2 linked regions of the Diceros bicornis minor genome follow. The protein of the gene in region 1 purifies or fractionates together with the protein of each later gene. This does not show direct contact. Links are inferred from orthologs where the notes say so. Each region holds a gene or a part of one and is shown on either strand. Other genes may lie near its edges.

Region 1 (10,806 bases):
ATGTCACAAAACATACGTTGAGCCAAAACTTGCATAGATAGAACATGACAGATTGGAGACAGTGTAATGCAACGGTTAAAAAGAACAGAGATATTAACAATGAACTAGTCACAAAGAAGCTAGAAAAATAGTAAGGACTCTGTTAGGGTAACGTAATGATGCACCAAGCTGGATAATAGAACATAGGTTTTGGGCCGGCCCCGTGGCTGAGCGGTTAAGTGCGCGCACTCCACTGCTGGCGGCCCAGGTTCGGATCCCGGGCGCGCACCCGACGCACCGCTTCTCCAGCCATGCTGAGGCCGCGTCCCACATACAGCAACTAGAAGGATGTGCAGCTATGACAGACAACTATCTACTGGGGCTTTGGGGGAAAAATAAATAAATAAAATCTTAAAAAAAAAAAGAACATAGGTTTGGTGGAGCTCTCTTCCTCTCTTCCCCAATAGATTTTTAAAGTTTTAATTCTCTATCACCATTAAAATGCCAGAAACATGATAAAATTATATGCTTCTTCTAAAAAAATAAAATTTTAAGGGCAGATCTTTTCCATAGGATGAAATAAACTTAAGAGCTCTCCAAATAAAGTTTTAATAAGGAATATAAAGACTTTTTGACAGTGATGCTCAGGGAAAATAGAAGGCTTCTCTCCAATAAATTTAATCAAGCTGTGTACTGAGGAATTAAAATTAAAGAATGTTCAATCAGAAAATAAGTTTCGAGAATTGCAGCTAAGAATACAAACAAAAATTAATGGAATAAAGATTAGCTCATAAACAATGTGTATTTGATTGTGAATCTGTACCCTGTTATCAATTAATTTCTTGACCAATTGAAAAATGCAGTATGAAGAAATATTTAATTACTTTCATAACTATAAACCACACAAATGCCAACTTTGGGATTAAGTGAGATTAGGGTTAGGAACTAGGTTGGATACATAAATTTCAAAACTAAATGATAAAATATCAGATCATACAGCAATGAGTGGAAAAAATAGTCTTCCAATACAGGAGATATTTTTAAGTGAGGAAGAATACTCTAATTTCAGTACCCCCTAAGCTATTTCCATGTCCACTTCTCACTTCTTCCCTCCATTCACTTTTTTTAAAAATAAATTTTGAGGGCCGGCCCCGTGGCTTAGCGGTTAGGTGCGCGCGCTCCGCTGCTGGCGGCCCGGGTTCGGATCCGAGGCGCGCACCGACGCACCACTTCTCCGGCCATGCTGAGGCCGCGTCCCACATATAGCAACTAGAAGGATGTGCAGCTATGACATACAACAATCTACTGGGGCTTTGGGGGGAAAAAATAAATAAATAAATAAATCTTTAAAAATAAATAAATAAATTTTGAGATCTAATTGATATACCACACAATCCACCCATTTGAAGTGTATAACTGAACGATTTTTTGTATGTTTACAGAATAGTGCAACCATCGCAACTATGTGATTTCAGAACATTTTCCTCACCCCAAAAAGAAACTTTGTATATATTAGTAGTCACTCCCCATTTTCCCCTGTCCCCTGTCTTGGCAACTACTATTTTCTGTCTCTATGGATTTATCTATTCCATACATTTAATAAAAATAGAATCATACAATATGTAGGCTTTTGTGATTGGCTTCTTACACTTAGCATAATGTTTTCAAGGTTCATCCATTTTGTAACACATAGCAGTACTTCATTTTTTTTTTTACTACCAAATAGTACTCCAGTATGGATATACCACATTTTATCTCTCCATTCATTATTTGATGGACACTTGGGCTATTTCCATTTTCTGGCTATTATGAATAATGCTGCTAAGAACATTCATGTACAAGTTATTGTGTGGACATATGTTTTCATTTCTCTAAGGTAGACATCTAGGAGCAGAATTCCTGGGTCATATGCTAACTCTATGTTTAACATTTTGAGGAACTGCCAGACTGTTTTTCAAAGTAGCTGCACCATTTTACAATCCCACCATCAGTGTATGAGGGTTCTAATCTCTCCATATCCTTACCAACATCCGATACTATCAGTTTTTTTGATTATGGCCATCCTAGAGGGTGTGAAGTGGTATTTCCTCCACTTTTTAAATGCAAATATTCTTTAAAAGCTTTTTTTAACCACTCCTCCCCCCTTATAGGACACCAAGGCATCTGGTGAGAGTAAAGTCAGCATATCCATGTACTTGTATGCGTGAGCTGTTTTGAAATTTAGAATAAGTTTCTGGCTCCCTGTATATGTTCTGTAAACAATACTCATACCTTTCCAGTAATCTAACAAGGAGAATCAATCTCATAACAAATTCATTAATTCCACTTTGAATTTAAATAAATACAAAACACTGAAATTATAACCAAAGTGCCTTACACCCTCAAAAATATTAATTGTAAAAGCAGTAATTTAAAGGATTCTTTATTATCTAAAAAAATTTTTTAAGCTAAAATTTTTTTCTTAGTAGTCTAATGGTTACTGTATACTCCACTATTGAGCTCACTTAAGTATAAAAAGTTACTTAACAGTGAAAATTATCCAAATCCTTACTTCAAAAACTTTTGTCCCCTAAGCTACTAGCAAATAAACAGAATTAATATAAGATTAGGTCCTGAAACAAAAATAAACTCTGAATGATTCAATGTCTTTCAACCTTCAGTCAAAATGTTGTAATCAAGTCAATGATTATAAGGAGATAATTCTGACAATTTGTTAATTGAACCACTGTATCACACCAAGAAATTTCACTAACCTGGCATTTTCTTCTTCTGGCCTTTCAACTTCATTTTCATCTACCAAAAAGAATACATAAATAAATAAATAAAATTAACAAACAAACCACTCTCAAAGAAACCAGTATTATGAAAATCTGAAGTGATCATCACAAGCACTAACCTAGGTCCTTTGCCAAATCACTGTGCACATGCACGTCCCATGGGCCTATAAGCACATCCAAAGTTAGATCACCTTATAATGATGTAACAAGATATGTCTTTTATGAAAAAAAAAAATCAGACTTTACTTCTACAAAAATAAGCTTAATTTAAGAGGTATTAAAGATTTCTAGATCTTTGTAAAAGATACCCTACACATTTACATTTCAGAGAGTATTACTAATGCTAAACCTTGCCGTCAAAGATAATGAACTTATTTTACAAGTTTATCAAAATAGAAGTTTGTCCAAGCCACATCATGAAAGAGCTGCATGGTGCCCAAACGCGCACTTTTACTTTACTATTTTAAAGACATCAAAAATATACATTTTAGGTAAGGAACCAGTATTAACTTTTAAATCTAGTATCAGTAACAGAAAAGAAAGGACTGTGACTTAATGAAAGTTAAAACCAGATGTCAAACAAGTCCCTTTCAAAAGGGAAGTACAAAATGCTCTACATTTGAGGGGGAAAAAATGCACAAGACGATACTGAAAACCATTAGCCTAAGGGACATGAGGTACTTCTATCATGTGGGTTAAAGACCAGTCTCTTAAAAAAGAAAAACTTCACCTTAATACAGGAGACATTCGGGGTTTTCTTTATGGGCCATAATGTATTCCATCTCTTTCTTTCTCTCTCTCTTTCTCTTTTTTAATTAGTTATTTTTAAAGAACGACTTTCAGACAAGGAGGTACCCTTGCAGGTGCATTCCACACACACTGACCATCAAGAAACAAGACGTTAGTTTTACAGCATCAACTTTATTTAGCTATTATTACAGAATGATTGTTGCTGAAAGAAAGGGACAGGAGAGGCATCCTAGAGCCAAGGGGTAAGAGACACACCAACACAACTCAGAATAGATATCAACAAACAGAGTAAGGAGCGGAGGCGAGGCCGAGACGCCCTCGCGGGGTGGGGGGGAGGGGTGTGTGTGCGAGAGGGCTCGGGCCCTGTCCCGCGACCCCAGCCCGGCCCGGGCCGCCGCGGGGTGGGTGCGCCTTGGGGGTGTCGGCTGGGCGAGGAGGCCGAGGGGGGGCGGGGGGACGCGCACCCCGCGCTCGGCCTAAGTCAGGCCGGATAAGGCTCCGCACTGGAGGCCTCAGGCGGCGGCGTGAGGGACCCCGGACGCCCGCCGCTTGCAGGCCGGGAGAGAAGCCTGAGAGAACCCGGGAGAGAGAGAAGGGACAGGAAGTTCCGTACCGCCATAGAGCCACTCTTCCTCCTCATCCCCTCCGGTCCCGCCGCTCAGCTCCGACACTAGGCGCTCGACCTCGCCGGCCGACATGGCCGCCCCGAGCACAACTTAAAGGCGGCGATCAACAGCCCCTTGCAACCCCTTCCCCGGCCTCGCTGCCCGGGGGCGCGAGGGGGCGCGAACCCGCCGGCGAGCGAACGAAGGAAGCGCGAGACTCAAATCCACGGGGGACGGCCGCGGCGGCGAAGGCTGCAAGGGAGAGGACGCCAGCCCCCATCCGCCTGCGCACGCGCACCAGCATCCAAGCGGCGCGGCGTCTCTAGGTGGTTTCGCTTCCGCGGCGGCGGCCACCTGGGCCTGGTTGCGCGTGCGCACCGTAGTTGGCCCCGCCCCTGTGGAATCCCGCTCTGGCTTTTTAGCGTCGCTTTCTTTCCTGGCGTCCTGCGTCGGCTACGGTTCCCCGCCCCCAACGTTCCTTCTAATAACTCTATTGCCTTTGCCGAGGAGCGCTGCGTTGTTTGCTTCTGCCCTTGGTGCTTTGTCTTCTCAACCTTTCTTTCTGCTTTTTAATCTTCCGAAAGGCCATATTTCATTCTTTACATGTGTATCAGACTTGATACAGAATCGTTATCTATCAGTTCCCTGTTTCTCATTAAATAGAGAAGAAAACATAGTTCATGGCCACTTTCTTCAAAAATTAGTTTTAAACCGCAAACAAAAGCAAAACTAATACGTGAATAATGCATTCTGCTTGTTAAAATACAGCATTACGGGTCAAAGACCACCTCATCCATTACTCTCCTTTCCAGAGGTAGCCATTGTATTTGGTGGGCATCATCCTGAAATTTTCTATACATATACTTCAGGTGCATTGTATTGTTTTGGTAGGAGAACCTGAGGTTAACGATTCTTAAAAGGTACAGTACTGTATGTATCATTCTGTGGATTGCTTTTTATTTTTTTTAATTCAACAGTGTTTTGGAGATCCTTTCCATGTTAGTGTATATCAAACTATGTCCATTTTCAAGTGCTTCATAATATGCCATACCATGGTTCTCATAAAGTGAATGTGGCTATTTCCCTATTGATGTACATTTAGATTGCTTTCAACTTTTTGCTTTAAGATGCACACAAAAACTGCAATGAAGATCCTTGTAAATGACTTCTTGGGGATTTATACAAGTTTTTCTCCAAGATAGATCATAAAGTATGAGCAGTTTTTATTTTACTAGGTAATGTCAAATTTTCAAGCCACTTTTGAGAACACATCTTTCAAGATGACACATGATGGGTCAAAACTGGTGTTCTAGTTGTTAACTATAACTACCTAGTTGCATGACCTCAGGTAATCAACCTCTCTATGCTTCAGTTTTCTCATCTATAAAATGGGAAAGCTGGATTAGATGATCTCTCAAGTCCCTTTCTGTTCTAAAGTTTTCAAACAGGATGCTCACTTTTCAACAAAGTGATCTGTTTTAGTTTTAAAAATCAATCAGTGGGTTTACTTTGCTCTCTAATTAATAAATATTGTTCTTTCAGGGCCGGCCCATGGCTTAGCAGTTAAGTGCGCATGGTCCGCTGCTGGCGGCCCGGTTCCGATTTGGGCGCGCACCGTCGCACTGCTTCTCCGGCGATGCTGAGGCCGCGTCCCACATACAGCAACTAGAAGGATGTGCAGCTATGACATACAACTATCTACTGGGGCTTTGGTGGGGGTGGTGGAAATATTGTTCTTTCATTTATTTATTTAACAATTACTGAATATCTGCTGTTTAAGAACTTGGAAAATAAAGATATGAGTAAAAGAGTCCCTGCCCTTAAAGAGCTCTCAATTTATTGAGAAAGACAGAGGGGTGGTAAACAATTAATTCTTCTACAAGGGAAAAGGTGGCTATGCTACAATAGAAGCACAAATGTGTTTACATCCCACCAATACCACAGCATCTTATGGCATTTAAACAAGTCATGTGGTTTTAATCCCTCTTACCTTTGAACACTCCTCTACCTGCTATTCTCAGTCCCCCTTATCTGTTTAGGATAATCCCTTACCTCCTTCTGAACTCTGTTGAGTTATAATCAACTTTGTATGTGAAATCTTTCCTGAATTCCACTTCATCTCCTCCCATTTCTTTATTTATTCAATAAATATTTATGAATGGTCTACCAAGTGTCAGAAACTCTTCCAGGCTGTGTAGATTTGGTAATGAGTAGGGCAAAGTGCTCGTCTCATGAAGCTTTCATTCTAATGAGGGAGAGAGCCAATAACCATAAATGTACAATACGTCAAGTGATGATAAGGATTATACAGAAGAGTAAGCAGGATAGGAGGACTCAGAGCAGAATGATGAAGAGGGATAGGATGCTATGTTATATCAAGTGGTCAGGGAAAGCCACTCTGATGAGGTGATATAAGAGTAGAGACGTGAATGGAGAGAGAAAATAAGCCCTGTGGATTTCTGGGTGAAGCCTATCAGACAGAGGGAATAGGAAGTGCAAAGGTCCTGAGGCAGAGGCACACTTAAGGCATTCAAGGAACCCAAAATGTAGCCAGAGTAGAATTAGGGAGGAAGAGGATATAGATGATGTCAGAGTTATTAGGGAGTGAGTAGGGAAGAGCTAATTACTCTCTTCTAGACCTTTTGCTGCTTCTATGGCATGTATCTATCACATCATGTAGTAATTATTTGACTACATATGTGTTTTCTTAAGATTCTTCATTAGACCAAGTCCTCCCTCAAGCAGGGCTTTTTTTGTTTTTTTTGTGAGGAAGATCAGCCCTGAGCTAATATCCATGCCAATCCTCCTCTTTTTGCTGAGGAAGACTGGCCCTGAGCTAACATCCGCGTCAATCTTCCTCCACTTTATGTGGGACACCGCCACAGCACGGCCTAAGAAGCGTTGCGTTGGTGCATGCCTAGGATCCGAGCCTGGGCCAATAGCAGTGGAGCACGCGCACTTAAGCGATATGCCATGGGGCCGGCCCGAGCAGGGCATTTTTTTATATGTCACTCTCATTCCTGGCATGGTGCCTAACACTTAGTAGATCTTCTTGGCCTTTACTGACAGTAATGGAATGAAAGTTTTTATATTCTGCTTGGAGTATCATAAGGCAATCACTTATAGTCCTATTCATCTTTCTATTTATCATTCCATGAGTCTATAATGAACTTTGGTGGTTTCATGGGAGAACCAATTGTCTTTTGCTGAGCAGCCTCTTTCTCCTTTCAGATGCCTGAAATGAGCTCGTCTTTCAAGGCGTTACTTAAACTGAACTGAAGAACTGATGAATAATAATTGGTGCATCAGAATCGCCTTCATGATGGAGGTAGCATTTGAGCTAAGCTTTGAAAATGAAGATTTCCACAAGCAGAGAAGCCTATAAATCACTAATAATCACTTTTAAAAGGCCTCTTCCTTCCTTGCTTCCAATCTGAGTTCCTTGCCTGGATAAACTTCCTTAGTTAAAGGTGTCTTTATCTCCCTCCTCACCAGGGGAGACTTCAAAGACAGGTGGTTTGAAGATATTGTGTAAAATTATGACCTTATCAAACTACAATACTTCTTATATTCTGGTTATATTTGTGTTATGTTCAAATACTTTAAAGAATGTTTTTTTGGTGTGTGTGATCTGTTGGTTCTTGGCAAAAAAAAAAAACAACAACAAAGCATCAGTTTTAATATATCTATCTCTGAGAAGTACTGAAAGAGAATGCTTAGTAGATGATGATTAAAATGATAGCAAGAGGTAAAGATCAAATAAAAATGCCTTGCTAGGTATCTAGTAGTTAGCAAGTACTCATAAATGTGTTTTGAATGGATAGGACATTTAGGCTTAACTGTGCTATTTGCTGCCAATTTTAAATATGTCACTTAAATCTCAATGTTCCTCAGTTTCCTCACCAGTGAATTGATATATTAAAATAACACCTTTACACCCACTTCTTGGGAGGATAACAGAGCTAAAATGAAGTTTCAAATGTCAAATCATTTGACAAGTTAGAGGCAAGCATGTGGTGTGTTATGGTTAGACTTTTCGTCCTTTGAACAACCTGAATAATGGCACATGTATAGAGCTTTTCTTCCTCTCTAGATACTTCCATGAGGAATTAAGCCCCAATTATCCATCTTCCTCTGTATTCTGACGTATTTTAACACTAAATTTTATATTACTAGTTATTTCTGGAAAATTATATCATCTCCTATTTGCATCTACACTGTTATGTAGACTGCACACTCTTTAAGGATGAGAACAAAATTTATTTATATCTGTATTCACCAGATCCTCTTTTACAATGTCAAGCACGTGGAAAGTGCATAGTGAATCCTTACGTGTTGATCGTGCATATGGAGGAGTTTGAAATGAAGTGAAGGGAGATATGCTTGATTTTATGAAGAATGGGAAATAACTGCTGGCTGTTTTGAGCAGAGAAATACAAATCACATTTAAATAAGGTAAATCTAATGATCTTAAGCATGTAATTTTAGCAGGAATTCATTTGACTGCCATAATATCTGAGAGCAAGAAATGGAAGGAAGAAAATTCTGACACATAACGTGGATGAACCTTGAGGATATTATGCTAAGTGAAATAAGTCAGTCATAAAAGACAAATATTTTATGATTCCATTTATATGAGATATCGAGAGTAGTCATCTCATAGCAACAGAAAGTAGAATGACGGTTGCCAGGGGCAGGTGGGAGGGGGAAATGGGGAGTTGTTGTTTAATGGACATAGAGTTTCAGTTTTGCAAGATGAAAAAGTTCTGGAGATTGGTTGCACAACATTGTGAAAATAATGCTACTGAACTGTACACTTAAAAGTGGTTAAGATGGTAAATTTATGTTATGTGTATTTTGCCACGATTAGAAAAACAGAAAACAAACAAAAACATGTTCCAACTGAACTCAGTATATTTTTCCCCCAATCGGCTTCTCATCTGGTTTTCTAAATCTCAGTGATTGCCATTTACCAGTCACCCAGGCAGAAAACTGGATGTTACCCTGAAATTCTTCCTCTGCCTCACTCTTTGTCAATCCAGTAACCAGGCTTTTTGGCTCTATCTCCTTAACATTTCCTTAGACACCCTTCACTGTAGATCCCCTTTACTGGTATCCTTATCTACTCTGGCCCAAGTGGTTGCTGTTACTGTTTCTTAACTGCTCTCCCTGCCCTAAATCTTAGTCTGCTCAAATTATTGTCCATGACTTGACTAGAATCGTTTTTTCTCCTAAATTCTAGATGTGAACAAATCTTTTCCACTTCTAAAAATACTTTAATAGTTCCCCATTGGCTGCTACTGTTTAAAATCGAAAATAAGATTCATCCTGATCTACTCCGTTTTTTTTCTAGTTCTTAGCTCCTATTTCTTCTTGGGGCTTTCTTCATACAATACATTCCAGCTATACTAACCTGTAGTTCCAGAGAACATGTATGGTTTCATGCCTCTATGGCTTTGCTCATGCTGCGTTGTCTGCACGGGCTGCCAGGAATGCTCCTCCCCATCCTGTCCACCTGGTGAACACCTGGTTTTCTTTGAACGCAACTCAAAACTCATGTCCTATTTGAAACTACTTTTGACCACTTCCCTTTTTCCTTCACCCAGTCAGAATTTATTTTTCCTCCTTTGTAATTCTTGCACATTAAAAAAAGTCATTGCTTCTGTTACATTTTGTTGCACTTGCTTGCTTTACATGTGGGGGTCCTTTATCTCAGATTCTTTTGAAGGGAAGGCCATAGCTTATTTCTCTTCGTATGCTCAGTGCTCAAAGTGTCTTGAATATTGTACATGTCTGTTAAAAGTTGGTTGACTATATTATTTATTTTATGGACATGAATCGAACATTTATTCAACAAACATTTATTGAACATCTGTTATGTTCTTGTGTTGGGGATACCAGGCCTCTAGTGCACAATCTAGCAGAACAGATTTGTTAAGGAAAACAGGTACCTTAAAACTTACCTCATGATATGGCAAGTCCTTAGCAAAGGTATCAACTGAGTGTTGTGTGCTAGGTGGATGAGGAGGAGGATAGAGTGATTGTAGTGGTGATGGTGAGTTAGGAAAACTCTCACGTGGAAGATATCTTTAGATTGATTATTTTTGGTAGGAGTTTACCAGGTGTAAATTCTTTGTGGATCAGGGAATGTATTTTATTAATCATTATATCTTTGGAGCCTAGCACAGTGATTATACTTAGTAAGTGCTTAATAAATAGTAGTTGAATGAATTGAACCTATGAAACATTCTGGGCTTCATCTGTTGACTTCACTGAGCAGATATATAATGTTCCTGGCTAGAAGTAGCTGGAAAGAAATTGAGAAATCATGAAGGATTTTGGTGCCATTTTTAAGGAGTCTAGCTGTATCCTGTAGGCGATTGGGCCAGGAGAGGCTTTTAAGCAGGAAAGTGGTAGGACCAGCTTAGTATATTAGGAAGAAAACTGAATTGGATGGGGAAGAGATGGAAAGCGGGAAATGATGGGGCATAATTGCAATTGGCTAGGTGAGTGATGATGGTGGATTAAGGCAGTGACAGCAAGGATGGGGAGAAGGGGCTGGCTTCTAGGATTTTTGAACCAGATGAAGATTTAGTGACAATGAGATGAGGGTAGGAAGATGGAGAAAAGGAAATGAGGCCAGTAGGTTTGTTATGAGGCCTGTGTGCAATAACGTATGTGACAGCAGTCTCTAA
Region 2 (11,188 bases), on another chromosome or scaffold:
TGTATAAGTAATGAAATTTACTATTTCTTCCTCTGTACATTGTTTCATAATAAATATATTTAAAAATTGGGAGAAAATGTCACAGACCAACCTAATTTGGGGTTTGAGAAATCTGGGCTCTTTCATTTTATGGAAAACGTATTTGTATCCATTTAACTAGATATTTTTAAAAATCCTTAAGTGATGTTTAACTACAGCCATGCAAATTGCAAAAGGAAACATTTTCTCCCTCGCTTTAGTCTTTAGACCTTATAGTCCATCTGTTGCCACAGCACTGATTGTGATGTCAAAATTGCAATTAGTTACACTCAGAGACAATCAGTAAAAAGGCCAAGGGAGATTGTGTTCAGGCCTCAATACCACACTAATTATGAAGTAGGAGGTTTAAAATCAAGAGAACTAATTTCAGGCTGTAGCTCTGCCACTGACTAGCTATGTCTCCTTGATAAACTCATTTAATGGAATAATAATTCAAGAGCTTGAGTTCTTGAGTCAAATGATGTATGTTCAAAACCTGGCTCTGCCAGTTATGATGGGCACTCTGTTAACCTCTCTGTGCCTCTGTTTCTTTAGTTATAAATTCAGACACTATGACTGCCTATCTCAGAAGGGTTGTTGAAAGGATTAAATAAAATATTGTATTTTATAAAGCACTTATCAGAGGAACTCCTTCCTATTAAGTGATCAGAGTTAGCTTTTATGAATAGTATCTGTATTTTGAGTGAGTCCATTGTTAAAGTTCTAGGTAACAGTTCTCTGTTAAAACATCTTTAAAATCAGAATACAACTGTATATACCTCACATGATTGTTGTCAAGATCAGATGTGGGAGCCCAAAGAAAAGTGTTCTGTAAGCTGAAAGCATTAAATTATCATTTTGTTAACATGTAATCTGTTATTACAAGATGATTTTGTATTAATTTTAAAAATATTTACTGAGTGCTTGGAATATAAAAGGCACTGGGCTAAGCAATATGAACAAAATAAATCAGATATGGGTCTGTGCTTAAGTGGTAACACAAGAATACTAGCACCTCTATTACAATATAGAAAATAATGGGTGCCAAATCAATACTCTACTTTAAAAAGAAAGTCTTTAGGGTGAGAACTGAAGGACAAGAAGGATTTAGACATGGAGAGATGAGGAGAGAAAGACGGAAAAGAAGACATCCTCAAAGAAGGAATAGTAGATCAAAAGCTAGGAGCAAAAGCTAGAAGGTGGAAAAGCACAGATCATGTGTGGTGAAAAATGAGGGGTACAATTTAGCCAGAGGAGAATATATGAAGGCGGCAAGTGAGTAATGAGAATGAAGCCATGTTATAGAAGATGTTAAATACAGGAAGAGCCACTGCTACATTAGATTAAAAAATTATAATGATGTAAAAAGGATAGTCCAAGTGCAAAAGATATCATGGAGAAGGACTGGATAAAATTGGTATTCTTAAACCTCTGCCATTTTTATTCTATGTTCATGATTCAGAAAGATGGAAGAAAGCCTACTGACTCTCACATCAAGTTTAGATTCATGAATCTGATCTTCAAAACCTTTTGTAATCTGTCCCAAAAGACAATCTTTTATCACACTACTCACGAACTCTCTATTGGTTTCCTCTGGGGGCATCAAAAACACTAGGTTTCAATTTCATGTCTTGGCTATTCCTAGCTCCTGGCTTAGTCTCTTCATCTTTTGTTTATACATACCAGATTATAACCCATCCCTTAAATCCCAGCTCCATTAGGAAGCCTTCCTTGATGATCTAGACCTTATCACTCTCTTCAATCTCTACATACTTCATTACATATCTACTTTATCAAACAGTAACATGAAAGAACTATCACTGACCTAGGAATAAAATGACAAGGGTCTTGACAGCAGGCCCCTATTCTGATTTTGGGCATGCTTTTAATGCTACAGGTTTCCTCTTGCGTAAAATGAAGAATTTGTGACTTAGCTAACTCGAAGGTCACCTCCCATCATTCATTCAACATACAATGAGCACCCACCTGTGCTAAGCTCTATCCTAGGTGCTGAGGATACAGTGGAGAAGAAGACAATGTATCTATGTATCTATCTATCTACCTACCTACCTATCTATAATTGTCTCCCTTTAGTTCAGTGGTTCTCAAACTTTAGCCTGCATTAGAATCACCTGGGGAGCTTGTTGAACCACAGATTTCTGGGGACCGGCCCGGTGGACTAGTGGTTAAGTTCCCATACTTTGCTTTGGCAGCCCAAGGTTCACAGGTTCAGATCCCAAGTGTGGACCTACACACCACTTATCAAACTATGCTTGGCAGGAGTCCCACATATAAAGTAGAAGAAGATGGGCACAGATATTAGCCGGCACCAATCTTCTTCAGCAAAAAGAGGAGGATTGGCAACAGATGTTAGCTCAGGGCTAAGCTTCCTCACACACACACACACACACACACACACAAAAAAAAAAACCCACAGATTTCTGTACACACACATACACGCACACCAAGAGTTTCTGATGCAGTAGGTTTGGAGTGGTGCCGGAACTTTTGCATCTCTAAGATGTTTCTAGGTGATGTTCATGTTACTGAACACTTACAGAATCTATGTTCTAGTGGAATGTTTATCTTTTTCACTGCAGTATTGCCAGTGCTTACAATAAATATTTATGGAAGAGAATAAATATGTCACTTTGTTAATTGACAAAGGGAAATCTAGCTCTTTCCTTGAATGATGTCATAGTTTAGAAGGAAAAATCATAATTCTACTAAAAAGTAGAAGAGTTACTATCATCAGAAAGGTATGGATAAGGAATGGTTTATATCCAAAGGAAAATGAACTCACTTTCAACCTAGAGGAAGAAGGAGTAAGATTAGAGAGAACTTCATCGGGGAGTGTATTTGATCTATTCTTTGAAGGACCCATACACTTATTTCAAAAATGCCTGTCATAACTAAAAATATTTTTAGTACCTCGTTTTGGAATTTGTCTAATTAATCTATGGTGAATCTTTTTTAATACCTGCAAGTCTACAGAATCTTTGTATTCTGATATAAGTTTTGATGTTTGGAAATAGCTAAATATCATATTTTTGCCAAGTCTGGTCAGAAAGTTAGGTGATTTAGTTGCATAACTCTTGGTTGAAAACAAGGTATACCTTTGAGTTAAGGCAGCAGTTTTCTAGTATGACTTTCAAATGGAGCCCTAAAACAATTTCAGGGTAGGAGTTCACTTGAACAATGGAAGCCTTATGGATTATGTTTATACTTTCTGAAGGTGGTTAGTTTGAAGAACAGCTCCCACTTGGCCATATGCTCTGATGTGTTTGTTTAAAAATCATTCTTAGTACAGTTGATATTTTGATTTATTGAAAGAATCAATGTTTGAACATGCAAGATGCCATGTACATTTTTCTTCAAAGTATATGCCATGCTATAAAAATCTAAAGTTTAAACATCCTGGGAACAAAGAAAGCAGTATAAAATGAAAGTTCTTCCAAGGTAGATCTATGAAAAGTATGTATTGGTACCAGGAAACGTGCACAGGTTCCTAACAGCTCTTGGTAATTCTGGGCCACTCAGTTACTAATAAATATTAGCTTATGCATCCTGGGCATTGAGCTATGTGCTGGGTCACAATGGTCCTCTCTGAAGGGCCATATTAAACCATTCTTCTGGTTTTGAATAGGGGGACTAAACAGAACATGGAAGGCCTGTGACAAAAATCACACTCTTACAGTGATGCCTTCTCCCTTCTTGTTCATCCCCAGAGTTCCTCAGCTACTCTGTTCACGCATCCTTTGTGCCCAGAGTATCTTCAGTGTGGGATCAGCATGTACTAGCTATACTGGATCAGCATTAAAATATTAATAGATTTTTTAAAGACCACTCATATCTCATACCTTTTAACAGTGTACTAAATTTACGTTGGCCTGACATAAACCGAAAACAAAACAAAACAAAACTACTTCAAGTCCTTTCGTTTAGATCAATGATTCTTAAAGTGGGGGTCCCCAAACCAGCAGCATCAGCATCACCTGAGAACTCGTTAGAAATGCAAATTCTCCAGTCCCACCCTAGAAACACTGAATCAGAACTGAGGCGGGGCAGTGGTGAGGCCCAGCAATCTGACTTAACAAACCAGGCTCCAGGTGGTTCTGATACATGCTGAAGTGTGAGGACCACTTGTTTAGATACTATCAGCACCAGCAAAGAAACTCTGTCAAATAAGCTGTGCAACCTATCATGAACTTTACAACTTATTCTAATAGCCTCTTATTATCCTTAAGATTACTACACTTAATACACACACAATTACACACATGACCGATGTCTAAGTTGTCCTTGACAGATTGTGTGTAGAAAAGTCATGGCTTCTCTCTGCAAAGGGATAGTACGGAAAGGAGACAAACGGACTTGTTTTTAGACAAATGGACTTGTTTTTAGTTTTCCAAAATAATACCATCCTCAACTTCTCTCCACCCCTGCCCCACCTCCAATAAAAGAATCAGGAGGGAAAAACCATTACTAGCAAGTGGCTATTCTGTTTCTTTCACGTACCAGGAAGATTTTATTAGGTCATATAAATACACTTTATTACTTGCAGATATAAATTATCATGCACCTTGAGTAAATAGCTATGTCCAAGCCTGTTTTAAAGAATTATTAAAACACTTGAAGGTAAATGGATGTTTTGTCTAAATTGTAGCTAAACCCATCATTTCAGATCTATTCATTGGACTATGACACCCAAGAACATAACACAATTTTTTGATGAAACAAAGTTTCATAAGCTCCTCAAAGGGCATATGTAGAATTAAGAGGTAAGACAGACTCTAGAACAGTGCAGTTCATAAACATATAATGCAATACATATATATAATTTTAATTTTTCTAAGTAACTACATTAAAAAAAGTAAAGTGAAATGAGTGATATTAATGTTAAAATATATTTTGTTTAATCCAATATATTAAAAATATCATTTCAACATGTAAACAATACAAAATTAGACATATTTTAACTTTTTTTATACCTAAGTCTTCAAAATCTTGCATGTATTTTACACGTATAGCACATCCCAATCAGAATGCTAAATTTTAACTGTAAATACTTGATTTTTATTTTGATTTAATAAAATTTATCATTGCAAAAGTAGATTCCATACCCAAACATCCTAAAAAGTTTTCCATTAGCCTAACTGAATCAGTTTTTATATTTAAATTAATAAAAATTAAATAAAATTAAAAGTTCAATTTCTTAATCACACTAGCCACATTTCAAGTACCCAATAGCTACAAGTGGCTGGCGGCTGCCACATGCAGCAGCGCAGCTCTGGAGCTACAACAGACCAACCGGCATAAGAATTCTGGCTTTGCCGTTTACTGGCTGCTTAGCAAATTACCTAGGTCTCCCCAAGTTTCAGTTCTATCGTCTGTTAAACGGAGGAAAAAACCTAGGCTCCACATATGTTTCAACTTCTGCCGGCAAAACTAACAGACTAGAAACAACTACAGTTTGTTTTTCCCTTCATAGTAGAGGTGTGAGATCATTGCCTCAGTTTATAATAATCAGAACCAATCTAAATGCCTCCAGTATAAGAATAAATTCATTTAATTCACGCTCTGCAGTCTTTAAATGCTATTTATTATTAACCACTTAATATAATTAAGGGAAAAAAGGGTAATACTATGAATAGCTCGACTGCTGCCTGGATGCACAGAGGAAAACCCGGCCGGTCCCGTCGCCTATCAAACAGCGGTTATCCGAAGCAACCAGATGGGGGGGGGGGGGATGGATGGAGCAGGCTCATTTGCGCGGCGTGTATTTCGGGGCAGGTATTTTCCAAAAATGTTTTTCTAAAACGGAGCGATTACTTTTGTATTTTCAGGAGCAAATCCCAAATCTGTTTTGAAACGACTACACTTTCCCCTCTTGGTCTAGAATGTGATTTTAAATATAGCTTAAATATAAGGAGACACTGCTATACGAAAACCCTTCCAGCAGAACGAAGAACACACCGCCTTAGCTTTCGGTTGGCGGTTTCCCGCCGGCAAACCGAAACAAAGCCGCCCTTGACGTCAAAGGAGGCCGCCTCTGCTGGTTACCATGGTGAAGTCTATGCGGCCATCTTTACTGGGGTCAAGGCGCACCGGGCTTTTCCTGGCGGGGGTGGTGGCGCGCCATGGAAAGTCTGCGGATTAAGAGACGAGAAAGGAATCCTGCGTCTGGGTAAGAAGGAGCTGACAGAACCACAAACGATCAAGGGCAAAAAGCATTAGCTAATTAAGTTAGTGGAACAAAGAGGCGCAGATTTCGCGGAACGACTCAAGCCGACTACTGAGGTTTCTGCCCGGAGTTTAAAAGCTGCTTCCGTTGCTCAGCGGAAGTGTGGGTCGCAAGAGGACGACTCTGGGAAGAATCCGTTCTCCGCCGTGTCTGCACAACCGGAATCATGTCGAGCTTGGCGGTGAGAGACCCAGCAATGGATCGATCACTGCGTTCCGTGTTCGTGGGGAACATTCCGTATGAGGCAACTGAGGAGCAGTTAAAGGACATTTTCTCAGAGGTTGGTTCTGTTGTCAGTTTCCGGCTGGTGTACGATAGAGAGACCGGAAAACCCAAGGGTTATGGCTTCTGCGAGTATCAAGACCAGGAAACCGCGCTTAGTGCCATGCGGAACCTGAACGGGCGGGAGTTCAGCGGGAGAGCGCTTCGGGTGGACAATGCTGCCAGTGAGAAGAACAAGGAGGAGTTAAAGAGCCTAGGGCCTGCAGCGCCCATCATTGACTCACCCTATGGGGATCCCATCGATCCAGAAGATGCCCCAGAATCAATTACCAGAGCAGTTGCTAGTCTCCCCCCGGAGCAGATGTTTGAGCTGATGAAGCAGATGAAGCTCTGTGTCCAAAACAGCCACCAGGAAGCTCGAAACATGTTACTTCAAAACCCACAGCTGGCTTATGCACTGTTGCAGGCACAAGTAGTGATGAGAATCATGGATCCAGAGATTGCTCTGAAAATTCTGCATCGCAAGATACATGTCACACCACTCATCCCAGGCAAATCTCAGTCTGTCTCCGGCCCTGGCCCGGGTCCTGGGCTATGCCCAGGCCCTAATGTTCTGCTCAACCAGCAGAATCCTCCAGCCCCTCAGCCTCAGCATCTGGCTAGAAGACCTGTGAAAGACATCCCTCCTCTGATGCAGACCCCGATCCAGGGTGGAATTCCAGCCCCGGGGCCAATACCAGCCGGGGTTCCTGGACCTGGTCCCGGTTCCTTAACTCCTGGTGGAGCAATGCAGCCCCAAGTTGGAATGCCAGGGGTTGGTCCGGTGCCTTTAGAGCGAGGACAGGTGCAGATGTCGGATCCTAGAGCGCCTATGCCTCGTGGACCCATGACTGCTGGTGGCCTGCCTCCTCGAGGACTGTTAGGAGATGCTCCCAATGACCCACGTGGAGGGACTTTGCTTTCAGTCACTGGAGAAGTAGAGCCCAGAGGCTATCTTGGTCCACCTCATCAGGGTCCCCCTATGCACCATGCCTCTGGTCATGACAACCGTGGCCCTTCTTCACATGAGATGAGGGGAGGGCCATTAGCAGATCCCAGACTGCTAATTGGAGAGCCCAGAGGACCTATGATAGATCAAAGGGGCCTACCTATGGATGGCAGAGGTAGTAGAGATTCTCGAGGGATGGAGACTCGAGCCATGGAAACTGAGGTCTTGGAGACACGAGTAATGGAGAGAAGAGGAATGGAGACCTGTGCAATGGAAACCAGAGGAATGGAAGCAAGAGGCATGGATGCAAGAGGAATGGAGATAAGGGGCCCTGGTCCTAGTTCGAGAGGCCCTATGACTGGTGGAATCCAGGGTCCTGGACCCATTAATATGGGGGCAGGTGGTCCTCAGGGACCCAGACAGGTCCCAAGCATTTCAGGGGTGGGAAATCCTGGAGCTGGCATGCAGGGGGCAGGCATACAAGGAGCAGGCATGCAGGGAGCGGGCATACAAGGGACAGGCATGCAGGGAGCGGGCATACAAGGAACAGGCATGCAGGGAGCAGGCATACAAGGAGTAGGCATGCAGGGGGCGGGCGTACAAGGAACAGGCATGCAGGGGGCAGGCAAGCAAGGTGGAGGCCAGCCTAGCAGTTTTAGTCCTGGGCAGAGCCAAGTAACTCCCCAGGATCAGGAAAAGGCAGCTTTGATCATGCAGGTTCTTCAACTGACTGCAGATCAGATTGCCATGCTGCCTCCTGAGCAAAGGCAGAGCATCCTGATTTTAAAGGAACAGATCCAGAAATCTACGGGAGCTTCTTGAAAAGTTTTAGAAAATATTTAGCAGTAGTCCCAGAAAGTTTTTTTGTAATGGAGAATGGGTGCAGAAAGCTGACTTCTGCATCCCCACACTTGAATGATTAGAGTTTCTCTCCTCCCAGAACCTAATCTTATTTCTTCTTGTTGTCTTTTTCTTTTTTTCTGTTTTCCTTTTTATTTTTAATTGGGGGGGTAGGGGGAGGAAGGGGTGGGTCTGTTCAATTCATTGTAAATGTACAAAAATAACTCTGAACATGATTATATTATACCAAATAGGATTACAAAGAATATTCAGCAATATTAAAAATGTCTACAATATGTTAACTACATTTTTAAAAATACTGAGTAAAATGATGTGAAAACTGCACATAAAGACTAAGAGATGACCTATTAAAATGGTAATGTACTAATAAGATAGTTTAAGGTTTTTGTTTGTATAAGAAAATAAAGAAATTGACCACAAAATTTTAAGATATATTTTTTGGTAAGCCATTTAAAATACAAAATCCTGTTTTGGGGGTGATAGAACGTATTAGTTGAAGCATCGTTTTAGTGTTTTGGAATTCTTTTGAAACATTAGAGCTAACAGGATAAGTCTAGCTTGTGGTATTGGAATTTTTTTTTTCTAAAGCTGTGCTACCTGAAAAATCAAGGAATGCATCTGGTGTGATGTGATGTTTTATTTATCTCACCCTTCAGGGACCAGCAATATTCAGGCCTTGCCCTGAGCAGGATGATTTTGCTGGGACAGTTCTAGGATCAACCGGGTTACTTAAGTCTTCTCTGATGAGAGTCAATATCTCTCGCACTATCTTCCCATTTCTCAGTAGTCTTTAAGCCCTAAATGTGAATCTGAGTAATTCTCTCACACCCTTCCCAAACATCAGCATCTAGGGACCAGTTGATCTGGATGAGTTATACACAGCATTGGGCTTTTCATAAATAGTGGAAGGCTTCATGCATTAGAGCTCTCAGTTTGCTGGTTACTAGCTTCCATATACAGATGGTATCCATCTGGTCAACCAGAATCAGGAGTTAAAAATCTTAATCTGAGCAACATTTAACATGCCTTTTAGTTTTCTTATTTCAAAATCTACCTATCTATCACCATCTTATCAGAATAATTGAGGCCCAGGTAGGTAGAGATATTCTTGTAGCCTTAATTCCCTGCTCAGTTGGTTATTACTCACTTTACTTTTTACAAGTAATAAAGTTATTGAGTCCTAATATATATACCCATGAGACATTTAAAAATCAGTAGGAAGGTCGGGCTATCACATTTTCTTTAGAGCTACTACCTAATTTATTTTTAAGCCTTGAGGATATAGACACAAAAATTTGTGTCATAGACCAACTAGTAATTAACAGAACCATAAACACACAAATAACCAGATGATCTTACTCTGGAGAAGAAAAACCAATATCTAGTTAAGAGGAAAAAATATCATTTAATGAGAGAGCTGAGACTTGGAAATTGAATTATTTTCCCCTTGCAAAGTTTTTACATCTTAAATGGGTAATTCATTTTTTACAAAGTTTTTATCCCTATGCTGTTGTTTCCTGCTACCTGTTTTACTCCTCTTTTTACTGTTGTTGATACTGTTAACTTTCTCCTGTTTTCTGTATGCTTCCCCTGTATTGGAGGGGATGACTCTCCTTTATGTGTGATAGTTCCAGGCAATAGTAATTCACCGAGTTGGCTTGATTCCTTTGAAATTATAGTTGTTTTATCCCAAAGCTTTCACTGAAGGGCTTTAACTGAAAACTATTAAATGTTATGCTCTTGGTTGTAGTAAGATCCGTGCATTGTTTAATGCAGACTAAATAAAATGTACAATTAAGGCTGACTTTAATATCTGATGTTTATTTTTAATGAATGCATTATTCAAAAGTTATCTATTCTTGAGAGCCCCATGGGGCCTGAATACTTTTTTCTTTTAAATGAAAAAAGCAAAACTAAAGAAATTGCAGGTATGGATGGAAATCCCTTTCTTAGATTCATTATATGTATAATTCCACAACTGAAATAACTATAAAGATGTGTTATTCTATGGTTGGTATCAGTAGCAACATCTTGGTGGATACTTAGGCTTCTTTTCTTTATGTTCCCCACAGAGAACTCTTCTCTGTATCCCAGGAACACCTACTTACAGGTATCTTTATTACCAACAGAGTTTGTTATATTGCAATGCACTATTTTACGTGCTACCCCCCACTCCCACTTTTAATAGATCAAGAACTCTGAACATGGACTGTCTTACTCACTTCTGTATTCCCTATAGCAGAAATCACAGGACAAAACATTCTATCAGAGTCTTAAGGAGAAAAAAAAATTCCACTAAAAGCTCATAAGTTTCTCCCCAAAGGATTTAGATTCCACACAGAACAAATGAGTTATACCAAATATTTGCATTAGAAAATAAATTAGAAATAAATAATAGAAGCAATCTCCTTTACTCTGGTAAACTTAATAAAATAGGTTCTCTCTCCTCACTTCCAATTTACTGTCTGACTGTCCCAGCTGTTGATGTAGAATATAGAGCCTTATTTCATTTGATAGTGAAGAATACAAGCAACACATGTCTGCTACCATCAGAATCTTATGTGTTTTACTGTAATTGTTGGTTATAGCCCCTGGCATCCTGCATTTTCCCAAATACCGGTAGACTACAAATGAAATCACAGATTCATTCATAATAACAGTAGCTGAAGATACTGGGGTGAAATACTGATTCGCAAATGCCTCTTGAGTGCTTATTCCTCTTGTTGGGAATATGAAATGTTGAGCTTTAATTAGTGCCTGCCCATTAGCCCTTCCCCTCTTATAGTACTGATTAATATCAAAATGTGTTTTAATGTCTGCTGATGTCCCAGGACTTCTGATTTTGGGGTATTTGA

Evidence for each region.
Region 2: the proteins of FIP1L1 (region 1) and CSTF2T purify together in Homo sapiens (co-immunoprecipitation; 3 studies listed by BioGRID and IntAct, with this or other methods). This does not show direct contact. The link is inferred for Diceros bicornis minor from reciprocal best matches to the Homo sapiens genes FIP1L1 and CSTF2T.

What each region holds. Positions count from the first base shown.
Region 1 is NC_080747.1:41,485,965-41,496,770, reverse strand, and holds the start of FIP1L1 (pre-mRNA 3'-end-processing factor FIP1), read right to left. Parts: upstream 4,417-10,806; 5' UTR 4,205-4,416; coding exon 4,120-4,204; intron 2,921-4,119; coding exon 2,876-2,920; intron 2,773-2,875; coding exon 2,733-2,772; intron 1-2,732.
Region 2 is NC_080745.1:52,120,227-52,131,414, forward strand, and holds CSTF2T (cleavage stimulation factor subunit 2 tau variant), read left to right. Parts: upstream 1-6,172; 5' UTR 6,173-6,428; coding exon 6,429-8,294; 3' UTR 8,295-10,137; downstream 10,138-11,188. UniProt on the Homo sapiens protein: May play a significant role in AAUAAA-independent mRNA polyadenylation in germ cells. Directly involved in the binding to pre-mRNAs.